Drosophila melanogaster: one gene and its partner. The protein of the gene in region 1 purifies or fractionates together with the protein of each later gene. This does not show direct contact. Each region holds a gene or a part of one and is shown on either strand. Other genes may lie near its edges.

Region 1 (10,079 bases):
TTAAAAAATTATGGTGTCTGTTTATTTAAAACACAATAAATTGTTTATAGAAATATAAATTGTTTTAATTTCGTTTAAACCCCGATATCTTTATGTGACTATCTTTTTCAAGCTATTTAAATGACCAACTTATTGCAAAAAAAAATCGTTTGGCATGAATCTGGACTTTGTATACGTATATACTTCTTATTCGCGAAATCTATTTGTCGGTCACACATTTAAAAAATATTTTGGATTTCCCTGACAAGCAAGTGATAAAAATAATTGAAATTTATGATAAGAGCGCCACAAAGAGATAGGTCCCTGTATAAAAGGGGTGTCCAGTTTAGAGTCAACTCATTGGATTCGCACCATGCTGAAGTTCGTGATCTTGTTGTCTGCAGTAGCCTGCGCCCTGGGAGGCACCGTCCCTGAGGGACTCCTGCCTCAGTTGGATGGCCGCATTGTCGGCGGCTCTGCTACCACCATCAGCAGCTTCCCCTGGCAGATCTCCCTGCAGCGCAGTGGAAGCCACTCCTGCGGTGGATCCATCTACTCCAGCAACGTCATCGTGACCGCCGCTCACTGTCTGCAGTCCGTGTCCGCTTCCGTCCTGCAGATCCGTGCTGGATCCAGCTACTGGAGCTCCGGCGGTGTCACCTTCTCTGTGTCCTCCTTCAAGAACCACGAGGGCTACAACGCCAACACCATGGTCAACGACATTGCCATCATCAAGATCAACGGCGCCCTGACCTTCAGCTCCACCATCAAGGCCATCGGTCTGGCTAGCTCCAACCCCGCCAACGGCGCTGCGGCCTCCGTCTCCGGATGGGGCACTCTCTCCTACGGATCCAGCTCCATCCCCTCCCAGCTGCAGTACGTGAACGTGAACATCGTTAGCCAGAGCCAGTGTGCTTCCTCCACCTACGGATACGGTAGCCAGATCCGCAGCACCATGATCTGCGCTGCTGCCAGCGGCAAGGATGCCTGCCAGGGTGACTCCGGTGGCCCACTGGTCTCCGGCGGAGTCCTCGTCGGTGTTGTCTCCTGGGGATACGGATGCGCTTACTCCAACTACCCCGGTGTCTATGCCGATGTTGCTGCCCTCCGCTCCTGGGTTATTAGCAATGCCTAAAAAGTGTGCGAAATAAAACGTATATTCTGACTATAAACTTGGTCTTTTATTTTTATTGCGCAATTAACAAATTAATCCCGGGCCGCCGAGTTCCATAGTCGATTCTTCGTCTTAAAATTCGCCTTGTCGCCCTTGGTCACTGGACGAAGATGAGCCGCATCCACTATGTTCCTGATGGCAATTGGCTTACATGCATTTTTCAATTTGAGACATGTTTATTTGTATTGCTTACTTGAATTCTTCGTAGTTCTGAGTGCTATAAACAGCCCTAAGTTTGGCATCGTTGCGCAGTTCATAGAGTTCTCCATCACGGATGCACTGCAAGCAGCTCTCCCGCAGACGGATAAGCTCCTCCGCGGTTATCTTCCAGTTATCCATGTCGGTATTATCTCTCAAAAGTCCTTTTTTCGATATTCACAACATCTAAATAAATTTGTTTGGCAATAGTTGCCTGGGCAACGTGTTTTCATATCGAACTAGAGAACCGGGTAAGGAGCAGTGCTGACCAAGACCAATCAAGGGTATCAGTAATATATACTAACGATAAGCCATCAATTAGCCGAAGATTAACTTTTACAGCCCTAGTAAAAAGCACGCCATGAAGGGGTTTCGTGGACAAATACGAGCAGTTTGCACTTGGCTTTCGGAATGGCTGTTTACGGAATAGTGGCTACGGTGCTGGTCCTTTTGCTGCTCGGCGATGCGTCAGATGTCGAGGCCACTGGACGAATTATTGGCGGAAGCGATCAGCTGATTCGTAACGCCCCCTGGCAGGTGTCTATTCAGATCAGTGCGCGCCACGAGTGCGGCGGAGTCATCTATAGCAAGGAGATCATCATCACAGCCGGACACTGTCTACATGAGAGATCCGTGACGCTGATGAAGGTGCGTGTGGGTGCACAGAATCACAACTACGGCGGCACATTGGTTCCTGTGGCGGCGTACAAAGTCCACGAGCAGTTTGATTCCCGCTTCCTGCACTACGACATTGCCGTGCTTCGTCTGTCCACACCACTGACCTTTGGCCTCTCAACGAGAGCCATCAATTTAGCCAGTACGAGTCCATCGGGTGGAACAACAGTCACTGTCACGGGTTGGGGCCACACTGATAATGGAGCCCTCTCCGATAGCTTGCAGAAGGCCCAGTTGCAGATCATCGATCGCGGAGAGTGTGCCTCGCAAAAGTTTGGCTACGGTGCGGATTTTGTGGGCGAGGAAACAATTTGCGCTGCCAGCACTGATGCAGATGCCTGTACGGGAGACTCTGGAGGTCCTTTGGTGGCCAGTAGCCAGCTGGTGGGCATTGTATCCTGGGGTTACCGGTGTGCGGACGACAACTACCCCGGTGTCTATGCCGATGTGGCGATTCTGCGACCTTGGATAGTCAAGGCGGCCAATGCCATATGAACAGATTTTGGAAAATAAAGACCATGCTTAAAAAAGTTTAAGAATGCAACTCCATTAATATTCGCCCCCCAGGTGGAATCGAACCACTTCGACGCAAATCGACTACGGATTTGAAGTCCGCACCCCGGACCACCGAAGTTCAGTGGGGCATTTAGTGTGCTAGAGTTTCCCTAATTATATACACGTTGTGCTGAATAAGCACTTGGGAATTTTAAGAGTACGTGTAGAGCAAATTCCAGTAGATCTGAGGGCAATATAGATAACATCGGAAATCACGAATTTCATGTATAGTGTTATATGTCTTCTTTGGTCAATGTTTTATCGCATCCAAGCTCACCAGGAACACCACGAGTTGGTTTAGGTAAAAATTTAAGATATACGCATTCGAAACGAATGTCTTGAAATCTATAAAAGGGATAAAGTTTATTACAAAATATTAACTCAGAAAATCAGCATTTTTAATTTATGGAATGCAGTGGCAAATGCATATATAAAATTAAAGAGTAAATATCGCATTCAAAGGCGATTTCAATACCATTGAGAGGACTCATAGAATTTCAACAAAAGATCAAAGAGATTAGATAATGATAATAGTTATTCCGCCCGAGTACGCATCACTTCCGTGGCTGCTGGATGTGGATCTGGGGCTTCTGCTGCACTGCAGCCGGTGGCTTGGGCGAGTGGGCCACCTGGGCGGAGGCGGGCGTAAAGTCCGTGTTGCCCTTGACGGGGGCACCGCTCACAGAGCCGGAGTTCACGGCAATGGGTTGCTTTAAAGGATTAGAGGATAAGTTAGTTTCCATTGAAAACCACATACTTATGTCAATAGCTCACTGTCAGTCCAGTACAATCCTCTGCATCCTTGGGCGCGCGTTCTGCCGTCGGCGCTTTGTGCTGCACAATTCGCATGCCACCAGCCTTCACTATAATTAAATAACAAAAACATATAGGGTTGGCAACAAATGAGGCTTGGCCACAGTAGCCGATTCAAGCCGTGTTTACGTAAAGCGGCTATTAAAAAGTAAGTAAGCCATACTAGTCGTCCAAAGTTGACATGTTATTATTTACATTGTACGAAGATGATTAAGTCAATGGCATTTTATAAACGTTAAGGATAAAATATAAGGCGTAAAAAGCTACTTTAAAAAGTAATAATTTCCTATTCAGTTAACGTTATTGTTTGAATTGCACGTGACGTCAGCATAAAGTACAAATACAAACATACATTTCTTGAAAGCTATGCGTTTGCTTGCCTGTGTTCGCTTATTTGTTTACTTATCAGCTTTGGCCGAAACAGGTTAAGATACTGATAAGGGCGCAGATATTCTGGCAATTGATTTGATTGGGTGCATTATTGATTGCCAACAAGGCAGTTTGTTCTTATAAGATTCAATTGCTGCCAAAAATCGAAAACTCGTCTGCATCGACACACACACACCAATGCAAGTGCACTTACATGCAGGTGGGTGTCCGGCCACAAGATTTGGTTGTTCATCTGCCATTTGTTCTGGTTTAGTAAGCTGAGGGTCGGAGAAGTTGAATAAATTAACGGCTTGTGCACAGTTAACAACAAAATGAGACCTTACCGCTTTTCTAGTTGTAAATAAATGCGCGGCACCGCTGTGTTTTGCTTTTGCGTTCTAATTGTGACACGTCCGACTGTTGTCTATCGAATTTTTAGCCTTTTCTCACTGGATGCGCAGTTACTCATCGACTGCTGCAACGCGTTCTCACTGCAAACATTTTCACAAATAGTGGTACACGAAATACAACTAGAATTTATTTTATTGCTCGATGTTTTTGTGTAACATGTTTTCTGTATGCAAACTAATGCCCACAAGCTATATTTATTTTATTATTTTCCCTTTTACTCTTCCGCCTGTAAAAACGTTGAGTATGGTAACACCATTTCGACTTTCCCAAACAAAGATCATTGTTATCTTATATCTAAGAATATTTATTTACTTAACTTAAGTGCATGCGTGTGAAATAATAAAACCTAATGCTACTACAACTATCAATCAGCCTGCGAAATGTTCTGCGCGGCACTAATCAGAGTGTCGTGTATATCCTTGGCGGACTGTATGTGAACGCGGACCGTGTTCAAGTAAGTGGGATACGAAATGGGGCCGGCGTTGTCCGGCATAAAGGTCTCCATGCGCATGGGAGTCACCGGACCGGGGAGATAGTGATTGGAGGAGTTCTGCTGCTGGAGGCACTGCATCGCCGTCTTCAAGTGGATCTCGATCTGGTCGCAACAGGCGTAAAAGTCTTCCAAGTGCTTGTCGAACCGCGGAACATGGTGGGCACCCGTGTCCCTCTTTAAGTTGTCCGCGAGATTGTTTTGCTGCAGCGCGAAGGCGCTCGACCGGATGGTGAGGAACATGGACTCCCGCAGTGGTCCCAGCAAACTCTTCACCCTGGAAATGTTGTCCAATTTTTCGGCCTGCTGCTGCTGCTGCAGTGGCTGTGGAGGCTGCTGCTGTTGATGCTGCACTGGTCCTGGGGGTCCCGATGGCGAGGATTGCATTACCTGCATCATTTGTGGCCCAGACATGGGCATCATGTTCATGTTGGGATTCATTTGGCACTCGAAATCGATGGATATTGGGGGAGAAAAATATTGAACAGCCGCGAATTGTTTTCTTTTTGTGAAGAAAAACCCGTTAGGAGATTTCTCACATTTGCGTTCGCGTACCCATGGCGAATATCGAATATAATATAAATATAACTAAGAGTTGCTAAAAAATACAAAAGTTGTACTGTAAATTTAAAAAATTCTTTAAAAAAAACTAGTTTAGAAACAAGGACTACCCAATATTTCATATTGTTACATACATAAAAGTGTATCTATAGCATAACTCACTACGAAAAAGTAGAGGTAACAATATGTTTTGAAATTAAAAGTTGGCCATTATTGAAAGTGTTCGTTCATATTCTAACTGTCAAACAAGTGATAGCTAATGTCAACCGACCGGAAAGAGCTGTCATCTCATTTAGTGTATGCGTATCCCAAATAAAAAACGATGTGTAATGTTTCATTTAGCATTGAGTGTTTTTAGTTCTGTTTTAATTAATTATTAGTTTTTGTTTATTGCTTAAAATAGTGTGAGCAAAAAAGTTTAGTTAGTAGTCTTAGATATGAAAATCAAATTTATCTTGCTATAAAATAGCTATTCTGGCCGGCGTCAATAACCGATAACGATAACTTGCGACCTGCAACCCGAACAATCAGGAACAGCTGAGGCGCTTAAAACACATTTTCCTATTACAATTTTCGGCGCAAAGCGCGTTGCTAAATCAACAGAAATCGTACAGACAACATGACTAGGTGAGTGGCTATCTTTGCCGGACCATTGGAGGATTGTGACTGCAGGAGATGCACCGGAATCATAACCTAAAAGTGCCGCTTGGGTCGGAAAAGCTAACCCATGTTCCTACCCTTTCCCGCTTGCAGGAGCAGCATCGAACTGGGCGACGTGACGCCCCACAACATCAAGCAGCTAAAGAAGCTCAACACCGTGGTTTTCCCGGTCTCCTACAATGACAAGTTTTACGTGGACGTCCTGGAGGCCGGCGAACTGGCCAAATTGGCCTACTACAACGACATTGTAGTGGGCGCCGTCTGTTGTCGCATCGACAACACTGAGAACCAGCGGCGCCTGTATATCATGACCCTAGGATGCCTCTCCCCGTACCGGCGCCTGGGCATCGGCACAGTTATGTTCGAGCACATTATGAACTTCGCCGAGAAGGACGGAAACTTCGACAGCATTTTTCTGTAAGAAAACTTATCATTAAGATTCGTGTGTTTTCGACACACCCCTGGGGAGCAATGTAGTTCGATTTTAATGTAACCTATAACTATTTAAGTGGGAAAGTTTAATTCCGGCCTATCTGGCTTATTTATCTATCCATTTAATACATAATATATATATTTTTGGCTAAGGAGGAAATAGGTTTATTTCGAAAATACTTTAGATCATGTTTTTTAATTCTGGTTATAATTTTAGACATGTGCAAATCAACAACAACGGAGCCATCGAGTTCTATAAGAAGTTTGGTTTCGAGATTGTTGACACCAAGGAGCAATACTATAAGCGCATCGAGCCGGCGGACGCTCATGTACTGCAAAAGACTCTGCGCCGCACTGCACCCAACTCAAACAGCACCGCCACCAGCACCACCGCGAACTCAAATTCACGTAGTAAAGCACGACAGTTCACATTTGTTTAAAGATGAATTTCAATATGTATAACAAACAGACATGTAGAGGCGGCCAAAACGATGTATTCAATTAGTCCGATCATATCTATGTGTAATCAATAATAATTACCCCTGCGCGGGAATAAATAGCTCTATACGGCTTGGCCAGTCGAAACTAACATTACTTGGGCAATGCAACGCGACGATGGCTTTGTCTACTGTTACGGAAACTTGTACAGCCTCCTGCTCTACTGGGGATTGGTCACAATCCGGGTGAGAAGTCCTGATCGTGGAGGTGCGTTTTCAAACAGGTGGACTGTGTGCTATGCCCTTTTCACGCGCTCCTTTATGGTTATCTGCTTTATGGCTACCGTGATGACTAAGCTGAGGGATCCCGAGATGTCCGCTGCCATGTTTGGACACCTTAGCCCGTTGGTCAAGGCAATATTCACCTGGGAGTGCCTCAGTTGCTCGGTCACCTACATTGAGTACTGCCTTTCGCTGGACTTGCAGAAGGACAGACACCTGAAACTCGTGGCTAGGATGCAAGAGTTCGATCGTTCCGTTTTGATGGTGTTCCCTCATGTTCAGTGGAACTATCGACGCGCTCGCTTGAAGTATTGGTATGGCACTGTGATTGTCGGCTTTTGCTTTTTCTCCTTTTCCATCTCACTGATCTTCGATACGACGCGTTGCACATGCGGCATACCGTCCACCTTGCTGATGGCCTTCACCTACACCTTGCTGACCAGTTCCGTAGGATTGCTGGGTTTCGTGCACATAGGTATTATGGACTTTATAAGGGTTCGTCTGCGTCTGGTGCAGCAGCTGCTTCACCAACTTTACCAAGCGGATGACAGTTCAGAGGTGCACGAAAGGATTGCTTATCTTTTCGAAATGTCCAAGCGCTGTTCGTTTCTCCTGGCGGAGTTAAACGGAGTTTTTGGATTCGCCGCAGCTGCTGGTATCTTTTATGATTTCACTATCATGACCTGCTTCGTGTACGTTATCTGCCAAAAGCTGCTGGAGAGAGAGCCCTGGGATCCCGAGTACGTGTACATGTTGCTGCACGTGGCCATACACACCTACAAAGTGGTCATTACTAGCACCTATGGGTATTTACTTCTGCGAGAGGTGGGTGACCTTATTTCCGTATGCAGAAACTTGCATTTCGCATCTCTATCTGGTTTTCTCTAGAAACGCAACTGTATGCATTTGTTGAGCCAATACTCGCGATACTTCTCCGGACAGGATGTGGCTCGCCGGAAAACGGAGGACTTTCAGCATTGGCGCATGCACAATCGGCAAGCGGCAATGGTGGGCAGCACAACCTTGCTAAGTGTTTCTACCATTTACCTGGTGGGTGATACCATGAGCCGCTCGGAAACCTGCCTGATCTGATCTTTTACTTATCCTGGCAGGTGTACAACGGAATGGCCAACTATGTGATTATCCTGGTGCAGCTGCTATTTCAACAACAGCAAATCAAAGATCACCAGTTGACATCGGGCAAAGATGTGGACATTGTGGGCCCAATGGGACCCATCACTCACATGGATTGAAATAGTTGCAATTACATTGAAAAAAATTAGCTTATCTTTATTACGTATACTACGTATCTTAACACGTTGCAATAAAACGGTTTGGTTAATTACTTCTTTATAGTTCAGCTCCGAATTAAAACACACTCAGATCATCATAAAGGCGTTTGACAGTTTTGGTCCTGGCGCCTCCTTCGGTACTGATTGCCACTCAAATCCGTCGACGAGGATTTTGATCGCCGGCACAAAGTCGATAGAGAACTCATGGTACTTTGATTTGGCGGTAATGTTATGACAAATTTTTCTCGTCGATACCGCAAATGGTAGCATCTCATCCTGCAGCAATGGGACTTCAAAAGGATGCATAGTAAGAAATGATTAAGAAATCGATTTGTTATCTCATCCTATTACCAGAATTGAAGCTTTTAGAAACAAATGTGGAGGTCAAAAAAAACAGTTAGCTTAATTTTACTAAAAGGCCATTATTCAAGACATTCTTTACATAGAAGTTTTGTTATTCTGTGATTTGTTAACGTTTTTGAACTTGGTTTTAACATATATGTAAGGGGATTAGATACATCACCTTTGCGCTTAAATGTTGATAACGATCCTTTGACAAATACATACATACATGCATACATAAGTAATATAACATTTAACAGTTAAGTATATGAATACTGTCAGTTGATATCAAAGCGACTTATGCTGGTACAATCTTTCGAATTGAATGGATGTCTTTAGAAAACTTTAGTTTGGGTTTAATCAATGTTGCAAATATGCCAATTGGCTGGGTCAACACAAAATACAAAATAGTTCCTGGGGGTCAATCAGGTGGGTGTAGAATTAAGTAAATATGTATTGGTTGCAGATTGCATCAAAACTCCGTTAGGCGGTGTTCATATAAAAATCGCCTACATTAGGTATACGCATACCAATGGACTGAGTATATACATATGTATATTTGAAGTGTTTACATATATAGCTGTATGTACATACATATGTATATGTATGTATGTCTGTAGTATATACTGACGGCCGCATGTATATGCATGTTATACATATGTGCACACGCAAAGCGTTCGCCTACTCCGCAGCCCGGACATCGTTTATCGATTTGCGAAAGGCAACAACACACAGCGACGGCAGCTACTACAAAAACAATCAACAGCAGCTACAACAGCACAGCTATACCAGCGGCGGTAGGCCGCTCTCCCCCGCTCGCCACCCCCCGTTCCGACCAGCCAGCTAGCTGGCATAGACCATAGCCCATGGCCCGTAGCCCGCCCCCTTCCAGGCAACAACACCACAGACCCCCACAACACCCCACCCACTCTCTTTTTGCGGCACGGCTACATACAGCAGCGCACATACAAATGCACACACACACTGGGAAGGAACGGCCCACACACACCCATACATACACACACGTACAGACTGGCAGCCAGGCCTTCGACGTCGAACGCCACAACGCCCAGCGACCCACTACCCGCCCGCCTCTCCACACCCACCCTCTTTCCACTTCCCTCGCCCCCCATCATTCCACTAAATGCTGCTGCTGCTGCTGCCACTGATGCCTTTGTTGTTGTTGTTGCTTTCCCTGCTGTTTGGGGGCTGGCTGTTGGTGATGATGATGGTGATGTTGATGATGATGGCGGTGATGATGACGTTTGGAACTGGCAAACCGGGAGCTGTGGGTGCCAGAGGGAGGGGGTGGCGATGGTTGAAGAGAGGGGGGAAGTTGGTGGTGGGGGGAGGTAGAGCAAGAGCCGGCCGCCAGGACTTGTGCTGTGCCAAAAGAGTGAGTGAGAGAG
Region 2 (11,717 bases), on another chromosome or scaffold:
AAAATTTTATATTTATATAAATAGCTTAAATACCTTATATCCTAGAGCTTAATGGCTTGCATAATTCCCGATCCACCGTGCTTCATTTGCTGTGGTCTCCGCAAAGTCACCAATTGAGTGCAGCTGGCCGGCGCGCTACACGATTGACGATTGGAACAATCCTGTGAGCCACAACACACACATGGGGTAGGCCAGGACACTCCTCTGGTCATCATGGCGGCTGCGTTGCCGGGCTCCTAAATATCGACAATCAATGACAGTCACTTGTCCTGCAAAATTAGATTTACGCCATGGAGCATTTTCAGCGCTTTATGGGCCAGTGCAGTGGAGTGCGGCGGAGGCGAGCGACAACAGAAGAGGACAATTCCCAAGCGAGGAAATTGGAAAAACTGCTAAAGGATCTGGTCCTAATTTCATCCTGGTCCGCAGTATAGTTGCAGCATTTGCGAATTGAATTCGATTGGTCGAAAGTCCGGGAAGGAAGAGTATGAACAACGGGCTCGGACCCTTTTGCGACGGGGAATTGCCGGGTGCGTTAAATTGAATTTGAATTGAATCCAGCTAGCGGAAGACAAAGCATATTTCGTTTAATTTTGCCAGACAAAAGTCCTTTGTAACGTTATGATTTCGTTATATCTCTTCCTTTGCTATTTTGGCTGAGAAAATTGCACATATAGTTGGAAAGCATCTTATTTCTAGTGTCTTTGCTTGTACCACTATCAAGTGTCCTTGTTTTGTGTGGAATCCTAGAGCTCTATTTAAGGTATTAGCCAGAGTTATGAAACCGCAATACAAAATGTGGTTCTTGTGCTTATTCCATTGAAAAGATCAATTCGTAAATCAATAATGTTGTTGATGCGTATACTGTTTACAGTCTCAATTTCATGTTTTGTATTATAAAATTGCTTACAGATATTACAGATTATTACAGATAATTTACAGATAAGCCTGTATAATTATCCACACATGATAAAGACGTAAAACTAATCTGGGTTTATCGTAGCCGTAAATTAATACATATCCCTTTTTTTCTGTCTTTGCTACTCTTTTCAATTAACTGTGTTCTCCAATCGCATGGAAAAGTTAACCATGTGGCTGCACTTTGTTTTCTTTTTAGACAACGTGTTTTAATGGCCCGGCAACGGCAGCTCACCCAGTATGCCGAGCTCCCATGGACAACATCCCGAGAACGACTACATCAACAGAGCTTTGACGGCCTGTGACTCCGGATTCATGGTTTCAGAGCTTCGGTGATTCGGTGTTTCAGTGTTTTGGTGTATGGGTCCCATTTAAAATCACTTTGCGGCTTCGCCCATCCCGCGCGCTCTGCATAAATAAGCGGCATTTGGGTTGAGGTGGGTCTTGCCCCTTACATCCCGCCACCTGGCACCTGTCGTCCCTTTGGAGGACTCACTTGCATCCCGTCATTTGCTTATCCTTTGGACGGACTTTCCGCGTTGATTGATGGCAACTTTTGGAGCCTGGCGAAGACTAAGTGGCCCGATGGTTTCCTCCCTCGATAACCTTTATGGCTGCGGTTGGTGCTAAGTTATGACGTGTTAATAATGGCGCATAAGCACAGAAGTTGTGGGCGTCACCTGTCTGAATTTAAGTGACGCATGCGAGGCCGAAAGTCGATTCATTCATCGGAGCAGCAGTAGATGGCGCACGCGAAATTGATTGATTGTTAATCAGAAACTGAGTAAGCCACACAACTGAAAATTGACAGAATTTAAAAAAATATTACCAACTTCAATTGTCTATATAATTCATATTTCAAAAATATATGATAAATGATATAGGAAATGAACGCTTTAGTAATTATCAGGCCCTTTTTGCGAAGTAAGTCAGCGATTTTCGCTTGCATGCTACAGCTAGTCGCTCCACGCCCACCAATTCTCATCTTTTTAGAAGCCTGCACAATGAAGATCCGAGATGCGATCACTAAATAGTGATCCTCTGGTGCTGTTCGAGCATTTCAAAATATTTTAATCGTGGATTTCAGTGGATGTGAAGATTTATGAACATAATAATAACAAATTTGCTAATTGATTTATTGTCGAGTGTATAAACACCATTCGCTTAATTTATGCCGCTGCCGTCTGAGTATTCCTTCCTTTTGTACTTCCTTTGAACCAGCTCGGAGTCAGCGAATTTATGCACTGGAGGAGCAACCAGTGAGCTAAAGCAATCAGGCCGGGCATCGAACGACGAGCACTGGGCGCGCATTTTGGGATGGGATGATGTACGACGAATGTCCTGCTACAGTCGCAAGCACACACACTCACACTGGTGCACAAACCGTTCATTATAAAGGAGTCAGGTCGTCAGGTGAGCTGAGCGAGAGACAACGCAACCGCAGGCAATCACTGGCAACAGGCAACACAAATTAATTATTAATCAACGGGAGAAGAAGCATCTGAAGGAAGTGGGGACCGTAACCCTCCCCTTCAACGCTCGATCCGCGATCGTCCAGCCACGAGAGTGATTTATGCCCTCAAGTCTCTGCTCCCAGAGCTAACGAATCTCAGAAAGCCAGCCCCTATCCAAGCCCCAATGCCAGACCGAAACCAACTGACAATGTTCCGGCCAAGATGGACGATGCCGATGGACGGCGATGGAGATGAAGACTAAGCCCAAAACCAAGACGAAGACGAAGGCCATGCAATCAAGCCCGGCCAACACTCAGCGGTAGATCGCACACAAGGTCAAGCACTCAAGCAAAAATGCCGGTGCTTGATTTTTAATTTAGTTTTAATTTTTTTTATATATTTTTTAAATACTTGGCTTTAAACAACATATGAAGCGATTAAATTAAACAGATTAACTTACATATAGCATTTGGGTATGGGAAAAACTTTTATTGTTATTATTTGCCATTGACTTATGGATTACCCAGATTTTTTAGAATGTAGGGAACTTTCATATTCTTAAAACGGGGATTTTCTTTAGTTTTATTATTGCGTTTTATTAGCAGATATCAATTTAATTCAATACAAGAGAGAAGGCTATAGTCGAGTTCCCCGACTATCAGATACCCGTTACTCAGCTAGTGTGAATCCAAACGCGAAATTTTATAATTTTTCTGGAATATCGGTATCGATATTGGGAAATAAAATGAGAACAAATTATAAAATTGTTCAAAAGTGTAGGCGTGAGCGGATCGGCGGCTTTTGGGCGTTAAAGCCATGGCAAACATTTTTTGCAAATCGATAGAAATTTTTAAGACTTATAAATTTATGGAAAAATTTCGAATTTCGAAATTTCGTTTTGTGCGGCTTGTGGGCGTAAGCCACTAACATGGGTCAACAAACTTGCGCTGCGGCTTTGGGTCTAGAATCTGTATGCTCTCTCTTTTATAGTTCCTGAGATCTCGACGTTCATACGGATAGACGGACATAACTATATCGACTCGGCTATTGATCCTGATCAATAATTTATATACTTTATATAGTCGAAAATGCTTTCTTCATCCAACGAATCTTTTGTAGTATACCCTTTTACTGTACAAGAGCGAACGCTGTAGTCGTGCTCCACGGGGTGTACGAAGGGCACAAGATATACTTCATTTGATTAAAACTGATTCTACATTCTTATCTAGTACACTTACAATCTAGTATACTTACATATATTTACTGTCCTGATGTAGGGTAGCGATGACTCGTTTTTCTCGCTTGGTTTCGGAATCTGACTAAAATATTGAGAAACTGTAATATATAACCAATATTTTTCGTTGGCTATAATGTCTGCTGCAGGGCGTCCAGCAAGAAGACTTCGCCGCTCTGTGAGCCTTTTGGTTCCACCCATATCAGTCAGCCCCCAAGTACGTCAGTCAGTCAGCGAATGGATGTTGTCCGTTGGTCCGGAGTCAGTCCGCCCGTCCGACTCTGACTGCCCATCGCACATGCAATGGCCGCAGCATTATCATTTGGGATACTCAGATCTTGGCGTGTCGAATTCAGCTTGCGGTGTCCGGGGTCCGCGCGGCGGATTGTGGAGATGGTATGGGAGGGCCTCAAGTTGCAACACAGACACTGGGCGAATCAGAAATGCCAGAATTGAAATCGCAGTTTAAATCATTTCTCGGTGGAACTGCTGCTTCTTCAGCGCCTCCTCGCCTACATGGTGCCCAGTCACAATCGCCTCAAATCTCGAATAACAAATCGCATAATTACGGGGAAGCGGCTGTCCATTGCGTACCCTCTCGCTCCCACTCTCTGCCATCAGTGCGTCCCGCTCTAGTCTTCTGCCTGGCAGCCAAACGAAGACGAAGGAGCGAAGGCTCGAGACGGCGATGCAATTCGGATATGAAATATTTTAGCTAAATGGCAGCCGAAGAAACAAAAATGTGGGATTGAAGCGTATAAATCAGCGGGTATTCGCTCCGTTGCCCTCTGGAGCCCACCTCTCATTTCGGTCCTTTGGATGCTGCATCAATATGTGGATGTGCAGCGGCTGTGTGGTGTCTATGTGAAGCATAAAATCAACCTGAGGCGATAAATCGAAAAGATTTTGCGCTGAACACGCAATTAGTTCACCTCTAGTGGAGGATTCCAATGACATGGAAAAATGGTTTTGATTTCGCAATATAAATGGATTTGCCTTGTGTCCCCGATTTCTATGGACACAACTGAAGGCAGAATATGTGTGAAATGTTTTCTTTGATTGGTGAATTAACATTCTTTTCTTTCTCTATCTACTATAATATACAATATTTTTTATTTATTTTTTTTTTAATTATTGCTCTTTTAAATATACGAACCAAACACACGTTAGAAAATATTGATATTTTCGGGACTTTACGTTGGACAAAACCAGACACTGCTATTCTTATGAACAGCATAAAAGTTGTGAATTTGCTCAAGAATTTAAGCAGAAAAGGATAACATGAAAAACTATTGGGATTTTCTTTTTATTCCTATATACACATTCCATTTTACAAAAATAAGTGAAATAAAAAGTCGATTCCAAAAAGGGAAAATACCTTTGTATTTCTTAGTTTCCCTCGCACTGCTATTTTATTGAACACAGCTGTAAATACATACATATCTGGGACACAAACGATGAGACACAACTGCGAAACATATTCTACACCTTAAAATATTTAAATAAGAAGTAAAAAAGAGTTGAGTAAAAAAACTAGACAGAACCGATCCAAATATTCTTTATTAAGATCAATAGCCATCTCAATCTATCCGTTCGTATTAACCTCGAGACCCCAATAGACCTTAACCGTTAGGAATTATAGCTCGATAAATGTATATATGAAAAAGATCACGAAGTCCAATCAAAAAAAATTGTAAGTAAATTACCCCCTAATCAGAAATCTCTGGTGTTTTTCGAACTTAAAAACCACTCAAATATTCGAACTTCTCTCTCTCAGTTGCACAAACGATTTCGAATTTCGAACTTCTTGTGGGAGAAGCAACTCGTCGCGTGCGTCGTACGCTTGCTGGTGAAAAGTGCGCTGTGAATTATGTTTTATTATCTGTGTTTTACAGTTTGTTCTATCGAATTTAAATGAAAATACGCATCAGCAACAGTGTTTAAGCTCTGCTTTGATGAGAAAAAACTATTTCCTCTAATCCAACCTTGCTACTTGCACTCCGATCCACAGGTTCGTAATATACATATGTATACCCCAAAATTATAAAATAAAATGAACATATTTATGTTTCGACTTGAACTAAGGTAAATACTATGGAATTATTGTTTGGTAAATACATTTTGGTTGCTTTTGGCCATTAAATTGTCATTAATTAAAGGTTTGCTTGCATACCGACAAAAATCAGCTGTTTTGCGGTTTGTAGGGTCAGTGGCGTACATCTCAAGAGGGGGTTAAAACATTTTCGTGTAAGCTAACAACTTGAAAGAATCTATTAGTGGTTGATATGGTACCTATGTTTTGTGAGTACGTTTAAGAACTAATAAATAAATATTTCGTTGTTTATTATTAGCGAAATGTTACCATATATTTTGTAACAATTTCCTAGTTCGAGACCCTCATCCGAACGCCTCTGTCCACAGACTGTTTTCGAAAATTCGACAAGCGAAAGAGCAAGAACAGTTATTGTCTCGTGAGCACAAGAGCGCGACCGGTTTCTGTTTCGCTCTCGCATGTTTGAGTGATTTCGAAAGATGGATGAGTTACTTCGAATTTTATGGGAGAAACAAATTTAATTCCATTTGTCGCCATTTCTGAAAAAATTAATCATTTTACAAATTAAATCGGAAGAAAATAAAATGAAATAAAAAATAAAGGTAAACCAACAATGCGTCGACGAATACATAGTAACGAAAAAATTCACTTTTGTTAAGTTTTTTCAAACATTTAACGTACATGTACATGATTTAAAATATTATTCTTTGCTATTCAAAAAATGTTACTAGGATTGCATCTCCCTAGGATAATATATTATTAAATAAACAATTACACGGAAAACTTGTTTTTTTCTACACCTATTACTTGTTGTTTAAAAAGGACATAGAGAGAAGAGTTGGTCCGTTTGATGGTCGAGACTTCGGAAACTAAAAAAGCCGAAATTTTTAGCTATCAAGGTTTTTGCAGAATGTTGCCGAGCCCACGTCAACGTCCACAAAACCGCCAAAAAATTTACTCCCACACTTTTACAAAATGTTTTCAGTTTTCTGCCCTTATAGTAAAATGGTATACTAGATTCGTTGAAAGAATATATGTACATATTCATAAGTAGATATTATTATAGATGATACTTATGTAGTAGCTCATTTTCATTATGTGTTATCTATAGGAGCTGTATTTGCTATTATATCAGGTTTAATTCATTGATACATATGTATCAATATATGTACATATGTATCATTCATTGATAGCCCAGTCGATCTGGCCATATACATATGCCCGTCGTTATAAACGTCGAGATCAGGAGACTAAGCATACAGATTCTAGAGACATTGTAATAGAAATGTCAATTGCCAATTTTTATAGATTCTTTGTACCAAAAACATTTTGTTTACGCCCCTCCTAACTACCTACAAAACGCACAAAACGGCCAGGACAACATATTAGAACAATTTTGTCATATCTTCTCATTTTATTTGCCAAAATCGATATAATAAATATCGCTATGACAAAAAAATGATGACATTTAATCTGATAGTAGTGGAACTTGACTATAGCATTTTCTTTTGTTCTTATTTTCCCTTTTTCTTTCTCCAACTTTTATCAATATGCAAAAACAATTTTTTTATGTATGTAAAAGCTATAAAACATAAAAAACAAAATTTTTTAAGGAATTTCCTTGTTTCAAAATGTTTTCATATATCCAAACTATTTCTAAAAGGAGCCCTAAACATAAACGCAAACATATATCCTCTTTGGTCTATTTGGAAATTAATAAAACGGACTTTTGCATGGAACGAATTTAAGCCAGCCTATAGTCAAGGTACAAAGCTGGTAAAAGTGCGAATTAGAATTTTCAACATTTTTCTGACATATCGATCGAAAGAAATATAAACTAAGTAGTAACGGGTAAAAATATTAACCAAAGATCGGATGGAAAATAGTTTGGCCATAAATACATACATACGTATATACAAATTGGAAGGTAAGGTGCCCTGTAAGCCGATGAACATTTGAGGAGCTCATAAAAAATGACTTAAAATTAATGTATTGAAATGTATTCGATTGGTAATCGAAAACATTTAAATTCTAAATTGCAAAATTTGTCGCTGATTTATTGTTTTGTAGAGCAGCATTTTTACGAAACTTCTGCGCAGGGCCAGTTTCCGAACCAAAGTGAATACAACAATGAAGAAATGGCTATTCCTTGTCTCACTCACTCACCAAACTCCATTGAAATGTCACTCAATTCCGTGTCAGATTGGCCACGCTCACTGGCCATCGTTCCTCTCAGAAGTTAGGAGTTAGTTAATTCAAGTTCTGAAATTTTTAGAAATGGAAGATATAAGATAACATCTTAGTTAGTTGAAAAAAATAACAACATAATATAAAATAATTAGTTGAAAAATATAAAAGAAAATTAATAAAAATAAAAATAAAAATTAATAGAATTTTATTTCTACCAAGACGTTATCTTCCATGTACTTTCGCAAAGGACATATCTGTTTAAACGACCCTGTCAACCATGTCCTTCATGCTCTTTTCTATTTTCAAAATGTATCCTATGCCCAAGACATTGACAATAGCAAGGACGAAAAGCGGACAACAAAGCAGAAGCGAATCAGAAACGCAAATAATATAGGATAACAGGAGAGCTGCGAATCCTGGAAATGCCTACAAGAAGGGTGGTGTTTTTAGACGGGTGGATGAGGGCGCCCCTCGGTAGACAATTAAAAATATATTTAAGCTGCCAGAGGTCTTGGGTCTAAACTTACTAAATGACTGACAAGTCCGTTGCCTTCGAAGCAAAACACTGCCCCGAAAAAGCGGGGCTGTTAAAAACAAGACAAAGGGAATTTTAAGAAAACTTCCCTCGCTTTTGTTTTTCCCTCCAAAGCACTCGTGTTTTTTTTTTTTCACCCACTCCAACTTCTCCAATCCGTAGCAAAATCAGTTTGAGTTGTGTGATTGTGTACGTGAGCATAACGGTTAAGGTGGCCAAGACTGGGTGCAGTCCACCCCAATGGCCACCCCCTGTCAGAATTGATTGATTGAATTGCCACTTTATGAAATTTGTGAGTCTTCGGAGATGTGCGTGGAAATTCGTGTTCTCGTCTTCGCCTTTCCTCTGGGGTGGATCCGTACGGTGGGTGGGTAGGGGTTTTTCTTGGGCTGGGTGGCTCTCCGAGGGTTGTTCCTTCTGATTTGTGTTTGTGTGCGCGCTGGCTAACAATTTGCAGCATAAAATACATAAAATTATGTGCAGCGCTGAGGCGGCCATTAAACTTGATAGATTTATGACGGACAGCAGCAAGGGAGCCGTACAAAAACAAAGCGAAAGTGTCTGAATGGGGTCTTGTCTTTCAGGCCAACCCCCGTGCAGATATAAAGATAGCTGATTAAAATTGCAAAATTGTCCAAATGAGATTTGGCGCCCAGCGGATATTCTGGAAAATGTCAGCGATTTATATATTTTGTTGCCTTATACATTTTAATACTTTTATATATTTACGATTAGCTTTAAGATTATAATTATATCTTGATTTAAACAGAATTAATATGAAAGCATATCAAAGCATATTACTCAATTATACACCAAGATTTTTTTTTAGAGAACGTGCAGATACTGGTAATGCTACACCGATTCTCACACTTACAAATCCATGCTCATTTTCTTGCGGTCAATTGTTGCCTTAGCCACAACATTGATTTAAATAAAATCAAAACATAATCTAAACAAGCCTCTAGACATGGGATTTGTATTTTCGGAAGAGTAGTGGGTATTTAACAGCCGACTCACTTGTTTCTTATTTTATACAAGGCAAGTGAAAACTCTACAGTCGAGTCTCTCGACTCTCAGATACCCGTTTCTCAAATAGTGGGAGTCAAAGCGAAAAAATTTAAAATTGGCCAAGTAAAATAAAAAAAATGCACACATTTTTTCAATGATGGAAATTGACAAGACAAACAATAAAAGATAAGACACAACAAAGTATGGTCGTGACAGTTTAGTTTAGTTTCTAAAACGCGGTTGCACAACGTGGGCGCCACTAGAATTTGGATGCTTTTGGCTTTAATAGTTCCCGAGATCTCGGTTACTGATCCTGATCAATAATTATGGACACCTTACAGGGAATCGCTCCAATTCAACAAATCTAGTATACCCTTTAACTCTACGAGTAACAGGTATTAAAATCAATGAACTTGAATCTCCTTGGGCTACTTCTTGAATAACCGTAATGAAAAAGCATCCAATTTAAATGCAAAATGAAATGGAGTGAAAGGCTTATTAGAACAGATGGGCGAAATTAAGAACTGGCCCAAATAAATGAAGTAAGATATCTAGAACCTATTTCTTTTTTTTTCTGGAGCTGGCAATTACAAAATGATTGAATGGTAATTTCGGAGGAAATGTTGGTTTTTGCCTTTTCTGTTTCAGGTCTATGAGGCTGTTCGGGTGCGTATGTTTGGAACTGGCATAAATTCCCATTATTTATGGAGGCTGCCCCTGTTTGTGATATTTTATTTCGCGCAAGGCAAGCGGAGTATAATTTGCGCCCAAAACAAACAACACTACAAAAAATGCCGAAACTTAACAAAGAAAAAGCGTCCTGAATGTTTGGAATTAATTGCCCAAGCTCCTCCAATCACAAACAGAAAAAGAAGCTAAGAGAAAGGGAGAAAAAATTGTTTTAATTAATAAAATTGAATGTGTGCGAAAATTGAAAGGATTTTTCCGGCCCCTTGGTGGTGCTGTTGTTGTTTCTGCGGCATTCATCTTCGACGCTCATTCGCAGGCTTTCCTCATTGGTCTCATTTTGAATGCAAATGATTTATGCCAGAAAGTGTCCTGGCCGAAGAGTCGGGGCCAAAAACTGGATTAGAGGGTGCCAGCGTCGGCTCGTTTTGCTTCACACCCCCTAAACTTTTTCGCCCATCGCAAAAGAGCGGGCACAGCCGGCAAAGTTTTAGCCCCAAACTTTGGAGGTCGCCTACGATTCCTCAATAGCCCGAGGGGTATGTGCCGTTAGAACCGAGTGGGCGAGGGGAGTTTTTAAATATTTACTCAACATCCTATTATCCCCATGCGGACTGGGCTAAGGACAGGCAGCGGACCACAACCCGGGCTTGTATCAACATTTAAAACGATAAACTTACCACATACACAGACACCCGACAGAGAAAAATGCAAAAAGGACGAAGGACACGTCTTGTCTGTCACACCAAAATGTCACCGCGGGGTGAATTACTGGCAAACCAAGGGATAAAAATGCTGAACAACAAAAATGTGCGAATGTCGGAAAAATACTGTTGGGCTTGTAAATACCCTTAAGTTTCCCTTAAAAATTTTTTAATAATATTTGAGCGAAGTAAGCTTACATTTAAACAGTAATAATATCATCATACATAATATCAACCCTACATAATCTACCTGACTTTATTTTCAGTGTATTCAAGTTTTTAATCGCTGGAAAGATTCCACTAAAAAAAGGCACTACGTCTATGTGTAAGCAGGACGACATCAGAGCGGGGCACGCGCCTCTCACATACAAACGCACAAAAACACACTGGGACACAAAACAAACAACAATGTGATAGACAGAGCAGGCCAGAAAAAGACACACATAGCGGGTGAAAGGGACAGAGCGACAGGGGGAAATGGGCCAAGCGTGTGAGTGATTTATGGCGCTGCAAGTGACGAGGACGAACCAGAATTCTTCAGGATAATGCCGACATAACGAGATTGTTGTATGTACACATTTTCTCCTTGTTTGCGCCGTCGGTTCGTTGCCGTTGTTGGCTTTCGGATCCGGATGTTCTGGAAGGAGGAGTTTTTGTAGGTGGAGTCGTTTTACGTTGTGTGTACACATAATGACACTTTTCGCTGAATATTCCCGCTCTGTTGTTGGCGTTGCGCACTGCAAATAGGGGCGAGATATATGTATGTATTTATATGTACACATGTGTATATATGAATGTTTCCAGCCAGTGGCGATGTGTGTAACTTGTCAGTTTATTTAACCTGACTGCGTCTGTGGGCGTACTTGAGCCCAAAGGACCTTCAATCAAATCCGTAATCCGTACTCAGTACGTTAATGAGCTTCTCATTAATTTG

Evidence for each region.
Region 2: the proteins of san (region 1) and CG31612 purify together in Drosophila melanogaster (affinity purification with mass spectrometry, with the first as the bait; one large-scale study listed by BioGRID). This does not show direct contact.

What each region holds. Positions count from the first base shown.
Region 1 is NT_033778.4:11,354,981-11,365,059, forward strand, and holds san (separation anxiety), read left to right. Parts: upstream 1-5,725; 5' UTR 5,726-5,844; coding exon 5,845-5,852; intron 5,853-5,978; coding exon 5,979-6,302; intron 6,303-6,534; coding exon 6,535-6,757; 3' UTR 6,758-6,891; downstream 6,892-10,079. Other genes in the region: deltaTry (deltaTrypsin), read left to right, coding at 353-1,114; CG13202 (uncharacterized protein), read right to left, coding at 1,186-1,285, 1,347-1,492; iotaTry (iotaTrypsin), read left to right, coding at 1,763-2,521; CG12384 (uncharacterized protein), read right to left, coding at 3,136-3,291, 3,356-3,444, 3,978-4,023; ix (intersex), read right to left, coding at 4,539-5,105; Gr47b (gustatory receptor 47b), read left to right, coding at 6,920-7,861, 7,925-8,086, 8,149-8,289. UniProt on the Drosophila melanogaster protein: N-alpha-acetyltransferase that acetylates the N-terminus of proteins that retain their initiating methionine. Has a broad substrate specificity: able to acetylate the initiator methionine of most peptides.
Region 2 is NT_033779.5:21,789,146-21,800,862, reverse strand, and holds the start of CG31612 (uncharacterized protein), read left to right. Parts: upstream 1-5,415; 5' UTR 5,416-5,469; exon of another isoform or gene 5,470-5,617; intron 5,618-11,717.